2 linked regions of the Astyanax mexicanus genome follow. The protein of the gene in region 1 purifies or fractionates together with the protein of each later gene. This does not show direct contact. Links are inferred from orthologs where the notes say so. Each region holds a gene or a part of one and is shown on either strand. Other genes may lie near its edges.

Region 1 (3,925 bases):
ATTATTATTATTATTTACACAACATAATTGGATTATTATCACTTAATCAGTTATGGTATAAAATGGTCTCAAAATTATAATTCTGTTCCAAACTAAAATGTTGATTGTGACAGACCAATGTTCTAAACAAAAGTGATTCATAATGAAAGTGATTTTTCTATAATATCACTCAGAGAAGAGTTTCAGCAGCTTTATTTTTAGTTGTGTACAATCAAGAGGAAAGTGTTGCTTCTACAAACAGCGTACAGTATAGTTAAAGACCTACAGTTGTTTAATTTGTTGGTAGTTTAAAGAGATTAGGAGCTAGTGAGATAAGAGTTTATCTCTCAGAAAGGTCACTCAAACTAAACTGAATCAAAACAGAAAACCAGGAGTGTGTAAAACAACAATGACAGACTCTAAAGGTATGCAAACACCAGTCAACCCATCTCTACTTCCAGGTAAAAAAAAAACATGTAGGAACATGAACTCACTCTCACTAGCTGAGCTGCAGAACTTCCAAATACCAAATCACCACAATTCCTCAAATGAGCCAACTACTAATATAAACAGCTGTTAAAATCACCAAACTAAGCATGGACCTGTTGCTTTTATTTTGCACCAAACATATTGGAAAGTCACTGAAAAAAATTAGGAAATCACTGAAATGTTCACACTATTAAAGTTGTTTAATACTGAATATATTAAATTTCTCCTGCATATGGTCACTGTCTGGCAAATATATTGTATTTCCACTTTGCACAGTGTATTTATTACATATGTATCGAACTTTTAAAAAGTTTTAACAATTATATATTTTATTTGCATGATACAGCATGTCCTGCGATTTGACTATTGTGGTTTTAGGCCAAAACTATCCTGAAAACAAAAAAATAAAGACCACAGTTTCTGCGCTGATACATGTTTTATATGCTTTATATGTTCTCAGATACTCATTATTTGAGTAGATTTTATTTTATCTGCCATATCTGCAAGTTTTGATACTTATCCTACAGTCCTTTACCGTACAACTAACAGAGACAGTAATACTTATACTGTAGTTAGGTAACAAACTATTTACAGCTCTGGAAATAACATGAGAGCACTTAAAAATTATGAGTTTCTTTGATTTTACCAAATTGAAAACCTCTGGAATATAATCAAGAGGAAGACGGAAGATCAAAAACCATCAAACCACCAAACTGAACTGCTTAAATTGAATTTGCACCAAGAGTAAAGCAGCATAAAGGTATCCAAAAGCAGTGTGTAAGACTGGTGGAGGATAACATGCAAGGATGCATGAAAACTGATTAAAAACCAGGGTTATTCCACCGAATATTAATTTCTGAAGTTTAAAAACTTTATGAATATGAACTGAATATGGTCTGAAAGCTCTGCATCTTTTTTTTTTTTGTTGTTATTTCACCCATTTTCTGCAAATAAATTCTCTAAATGACTGTATGTTTATTTGGAATTTGGGAGAAATGTTGTCTGTAGTTTATAGAATAAAACAACAATGTTCATTTTACTCAAACATAAACCTATAAATAGCAAAATCAGAGAAACTGATTCAGAAACTGATTTTTTTCATTTCATTTTTTCCAGAGCTGCTTAATTATAGCTAATTAACGCAGGTTAAATCACTAATGATTAGTGTCCAGCCCAGTCTCCTCAACTCCTCCACTAAAGTTACAAACAAAACAAAATATTGCCTAAATGTAAAGTTAAAGTAAATGTTATGGTTAATGTTATGTTATGCAAATGTTGTGGATAAAAACAAATCTGTGTTGTTGTAAAAACAGGCGCGCGCTGATCCACAGGTTTCAGGAAACCTGTTCAGAACAAACAAACGCACCTGAGAGAGAGTAAGAGTAAATATTATCAGTTTAAATAAGTTTAAACAGTAAAATAGAGGAGCTGAGAGTAAAAACACAGCTCCTTCAGTTTCTCCAGGCCTTTATTCTCCTCCTTCTTCCACAGGAAACCGGCCATTCCCAACTCCTCACTCCTCTCTCTCCCACTCAGACCCGCAGATCTGCGCTTATTAAACTCTGAATAACTGAGTATCAGCCCGCGGGTCCCGCAGACCCTCAGCGGGAGATTATCTTCTGTTAGTTTCAGGGAGTTCTCGGTGTTTCTGAGGTAAATCTGGAGTTTAATCCTGTATTTAGTTAGTTTTAGTTAGTTTAGTTTCTAAGGTAAACGCCGCTGTTTACTCACCCACTCCATACTTCTCCTTCTTCGTGGGAACCCAGCGCGACATTCTCCCGCGGGCAGTAACTCTCAGCCGGGGTCAGAAGCTCCTCCGCGACGCGGTAACTTCTCCGCTCGGCTCCCGGGCGCTCGGTTCTCCGGTAATTCTCGGTTACAGGAGCTGAGGGCAGACTCCTCCAGCCGCCATTTTCCACTAAACTGCTGCCGCCGCTGCGGGCTGTGAGGGCGCGCGCGCGCCACGCTAACTTTTTTTCCGCCCGTATTCCGAGAGGTCCCGCCCCTCCTGCGCTCCGATTGGCGAAAAAGTTCCCGTCTGCGACCGTACTCCAGACTTCTGCCGACTCCGATTGGACGCCGCGTTCTCGCCGGCCAATGAAAAGGAAGGAGAGGCGGGTGGTTTACGGAAAACGGGTGGGCGAAAACAAACGCTGGTCAGTGAGCGCCACGAGAGGAGTGGAGTCAAAAACTGAGAGAAAAAACAAAATAATAATAAATAATAATATAATAAATAAATAATAAAATAAGAAACAGCTTAAACATGTACACTAGCTAACCAACTTTATAACTAACTAACTTCAATTAACTAAATGACTGTCTAATCATCCAATCAGCTAACGTTATCTGACTGACTAATTAACCAAGGGACTGGCCAATAAACGAACCTAACTGAGGGGATACTTGACTGTCTATCGTTAACTAGGGTTAACTAAATGAATGTCTAATCAGCCAATTAACTAAATGACTAATTAATTAACTGACTGACCAATAAGCTACCGGATGAATTAACAAACTGACTTATTAACCAACTGACTGACTATTTACCGAACTGAATAGCTAACTAACTAACTTGATGAATGACTGAATAATCAACCAACTGATTGGAAAACTGGCTACTTAACCCACTGACTAAGTAACTAATGTACATATTGACAGGATAACTAACTAAAACGACTCATTTGCAAATTATCTGATTAACTACTTAACTAACCTACTCATTAACTGGCTAATTAATCTACTAAATATCACTGATTAATATTCAGCAGACTGAATGGATAATAAGCCGACCCACAAGTTAAGTAATTAACTGGCTGATTAGCTAATCAGTTAATCAGCCTTTTAAGAAAAATGAGACATATACGCAAAACTAACTTTTACATGGTTTTGTATTTCCAATTTGGTCTCTCTGCATCTTATTAGTATAAACGTGTCAGAGCCCTTAAAACTTTAAAACTGGTAAGAATAGAGAGTGAGATCTCTTTATTTTAAGTGTGAGTGATTCTGTTTGAAGAACTTCATTAAAACATGTTTTGTCTAGCTCATAGACCTATTCTAACTTGTCTAAAAAGAGGTATAATATGTTTCATTTAACTAAGATTGTTTTGGATTTCTTTCTTTTTTTTCTATTTCTTATATTCGTGTCTTTAATTTTTCCTATACTGTCTATTTCGTCTTTGTTTCTTGCTGTTTTTTATATGTATATAGGACATGTACATGGACATGTTTTAAATATTTAGATAAAATAATAAAAACTGTATGAGCAGCATATTCTCCACAAAGTTACCTGAGGAATTATTAAAGAATAAGAAGTCACTAACTTTAGTTTATGGGATGTCAGGTACAGGTCCTGCTGTGAAGGGGTATGTTATTGCCCGGTCTCTGCGTAGCTCTGATAAAGCTTCCAAGAATAGAATAACAGACACTGATATGTATTTTACTTTCATGTTATATTTGA
Region 2 (3,925 bases), on another chromosome or scaffold:
CAGGATGCCATACAGAATATATTTGCCTTTATGCCCAACCATACTTTTTTGTATTCAGGCTAGAGGCAGCCCAATAAGGTACTAAAGTCTCTATTTAAATGTGTATTTAATTGTTTAATGTTTTTCTTACAAATATTACCTTAACATTTACATATAACAATTAATTTGATTCCAACCACTCATTCTTGGTGCGCTAGGTTTATTGTTAATAAGTGTATATCACATGTTCTTTGTTTCTCTGTAAACTCAACATGGAAAAATCCTTCCAGAAGTCACCCGACACTGGACAAACCAACCACATGCAAAGTGATGCCCAATATAGCAACCAGCTCTGACACATATGAGCCATATGTACATACTGCACTACTCGCCATCATCAGCTGTTTTTATAATAACAGAGATAGCCATCAAATAAGCAGTTGTACCATGGACACCACACATTAGTCACATATGAATGTGAGAGTCCACTGCTATTACAACAATGACTAAAGCCATCCATTAAGCATTGACTCCTCTGTGCTTTAATTAGGACTGACCCAACAATGTGATATGTGTGCTTCTGGACTGCTCTGTTCAGACACATCTGTGCAGGCCAGTCTGTATTACATGGACAAGAGCTCATGGAGAGTTTACTGGGCGAAGCCACTGATGTCACCATAGCCTGAAGCCCAACAAGTGACTCAACTACTTGAGGATGAAAGAAGGCGACCGTTGCTGCTAAGAGACAAAATCTTGTCCAATGTTGTCAAGCCATTATCTCATATAATGAAGAGGAGTGGATGCTGATTATGAAACAAAAGAAAGAAAACATCGTGAAACATCTGGTGCACTGAACTTTTAGTGAATGAAAAAGAACTACAGAAATATTACATGATGTTCTAAAAGATTAATATATCAATCATAAGTATTACTGTATTTAGACAGAAACACCCCTGCACGATGTGGGGAAAAATCTAGTACAAAACACTGCAGTCAGGTTCGAGTTCTATCAGCACTGCATTCCATACTAATTATTAAATTATGCTAGGCACCTACACCTGTCTGCTCCTAACTACCTGCAAGACCTAACTTCCTATTATAAAGCATCCTGTTTAGTCAGGACATTGGATGCTGGTCCTTATGTGAACCATAACCATAATGCTGATGAGAATCAGCTGTTGCAAAAACACTATTACAAAAAAATCTATAAACAAAACAAGAGTGAACTATAACAAGCTGAATCATCACTGCTTTATCATCTACAAAATGTTGCCAACAAATAAAAAAGCTTACAATAAGTAAGCTTACAACAAGAATGTAAGAATAGAGTAAGAATATAAACAGCTAAATATACTTCTTAACATATTATTGCACATATACATATTTTTTTATTTATGAGCCGGTGGGATGTAGATATGTAGTGTAACATTATATTAAAGATAAATAAATACATAAAAATAAGGTAAGTTTTAAAATGGGGAAATATCCTATAGATGGTTAGTTGCATAATAAAACTGACATTATTTAGAAAAATAAACAAGAAACATGCTAAAATAACACAGTATATCCAAATGATCCACTCTGAAGTCACACAGCCCTCTGCATAGATGACAGTATACACAACACACAGTTTGAACATTCAAACTTCCACTTTTTGTGTTGTTTGCACAACAAACCCTGCTGTTTATCCAACATCTCTTTTATCTTAACGTTACACTTGCTTTAGAAAGTTGGTTAGTGGGTCTTGTTTTGGGGGAGCCAACTAAATAAATAAATCTAGTTAACTGATGTAACTACTCTGCTTTCAATAAAGCAATGTTAACCTTTATATAACCGTAATATAAGCCTCATAATAATAACAATACAATTATAGACACAAGTTAAAGTAGCCTATGATATAGAGAGAGATACAAAAACTAGGTAATTAGGAGCCACCCTTCTCTCTCTTTCTCTCTCTCTCTCACTCTTTTCTCACCCCTTTAACCTCTTCCCACCCTTCCTCCCTCCTTCCCTCTCTCTCTCTCTCTCTCTCTTTCTCCATCTCTCGTCTGTTTATGTCCACTCCTATAACCACACGTATGGTATAGCAGCTAGGGGTGCCGCGCCGGCCAGCTGTCCTCCGCAGCCCAGCGGGGAACTGCTCACCCCGCCGCCCGGGAAAGTGAAGCCCGGACCGGCCGCCGGCTGTGTTTACCCCCGCCGCTGCTGTCTCAACACCAAGCCGTTACACTGACCTGAGGCGGCGAGGCTCCTCCGCAGGGCTGCTGCTGCTGTAGGGAGTTGAGGGCAGTATCAGCGCGCTCTCCGTCTCCTTTCCGCTGTTCCTCTGTTTCTCTGAGTGTGTGTGCGTGTGTGTTTGGTTCAGAGCGCGGACACACACTCACACACACTGCTGCTGTTTTCACTTCCTCCACCTCCGCCTCCTCCCTCTGCTGCCTGCTTCCCTCCGCTTACAGCGCGAGGCGGCGCACGGACCAATCAGAGCGCAGAAACCCTGAGCGCTGGCCACGCCCTCTCACTCATGGCTTCACTAAACCCAGCCCAGCCCGGCGTACACAAACACACCACACCACAGCTACACCTCTGCATCACATGGACATAGATGTGGACTATATGTACAAATATACTAGTGCATCTCAAAAAATGAGAATATAATTGAAAAGTTACTCTATTTCAGTAATTCAGTTCAAAATGTGAAACTCATATTTAATATAGATATAAAATACACATAGAGTAATCTATTTTAAACGTTTCATTACGTTTCATTCTTACAGCCAATTAAAAACAAGCACCAGCAGATGACATGACATGGCCATCACTGACTGTGGCATATTACATATTCCAATATTAGATATCGGTGAGTGGCAAGAGTAACTGCTCCTCTTGTGGGTAAAAATAATGTTTTATGCCGGCTAAGGATCCAGTTAGGTTCCCCTCTAATAAGACGTGCTCCACCTGTAGATTAAATGTGATGTTCTGCTGTTAAGGGTGTAATCACATTTGATAGAATGAGGGGAAGCTTCCTCATGGTGGAGAGAAGAAAATGTGCCTTATAGGTGCCCTCATAACAGTATATATTTATAACATATTTGGTGGTAAAAGACAAAGTAAATTGTTGTCAGTGATGGTAAAAAATAAATAAATTACCATGCAGTTATTAAGCATGCATCTATGTCTATCCATGTTCTATCCATTAGTATCTTATTTATAGACTTAATTTGATTATTTTAAGACTTTATTTAACAGTATTATTAGTAGGATTCTTAAGCTAAACATGCAATGTTTTCTCATTTTTGTTTCAATTTAAATTTTCCCACAAATAAATTTAGTTGAACCAGAATATTATTTTCCCATTTAAAGACACTGATCATGTACACTTGCCACTAATGCAATACATCTAAATCAGGCCATTCCCAGTTTAACACTCAGCTTTAAATAGGTTTAATAATTTATTATTTTCATCACAATTAATTATTAATACCAAAGAAGCCCTAGATTTCACTGCTTTCTTTTAATTAAAACTATTTCATTATCTTCTTCCACTTCTTTCTCTTTGTTAAACAGTCTGAACGGAAATATTATTAGATATGTGGATAGCCTTAATCATGGCAACTTTAAAAACATGCCAAAAGTCATGGGACAGCAGCATTAGAAAATGATCATTAAGTGTAACCTTAGAAGACAGCTTGGGGATGCCCACACCTGTACACCTGTGTTTTCTTAAGTTTGAACACTGGCCAGCATGTTCACAGCAAATTGAGTGAGGTATGATAGTGGGTGCCAAATGGATGGGGAATTCTATTTCTTGATCTACAGTGTCACATGTTATACCTGAAGGAATTACCACCACAGTGGGCAATGCAGTAGTCACAGAACATGACATTTGGTAAGATGATTTATAGGAAACTGCTACTTTTGTGTGCGAAATATAATACATTTTTAGATT

What was found.
Region 2: the proteins of dock1 (region 1) and elmo1 purify together in Homo sapiens (affinity purification with western blotting; 12 studies listed by BioGRID and IntAct, counting the BioPlex papers as one, with this or other methods). This does not show direct contact. The link is inferred for Astyanax mexicanus from reciprocal best matches to the Homo sapiens genes DOCK1 and ELMO1.

Annotation. Positions count from the first base shown.
Region 1 is NC_064422.1:13,828,803-13,832,727, forward strand, and holds the start of dock1 (dedicator of cytokinesis protein 1), read right to left. Parts: upstream 2,419-3,925; 5' UTR 2,243-2,418; coding exon 2,200-2,242; intron 1-2,199. UniProt on the Homo sapiens protein: Involved in cytoskeletal rearrangements required for phagocytosis of apoptotic cells and cell motility. Along with DOCK1, mediates CRK/CRKL regulation of epithelial and endothelial cell spreading and migration on type IV collagen.
Region 2 is NC_064410.1:47,945,227-47,949,151, reverse strand, and holds the start of elmo1 (engulfment and cell motility protein 1), read right to left. Parts: upstream 2,366-3,925; 5' UTR 2,214-2,365; intron 1-2,213. UniProt on the Homo sapiens protein: Involved in cytoskeletal rearrangements required for phagocytosis of apoptotic cells and cell motility. Acts in association with DOCK1 and CRK. Was initially proposed to be required in complex with DOCK1 to activate Rac Rho small GTPases.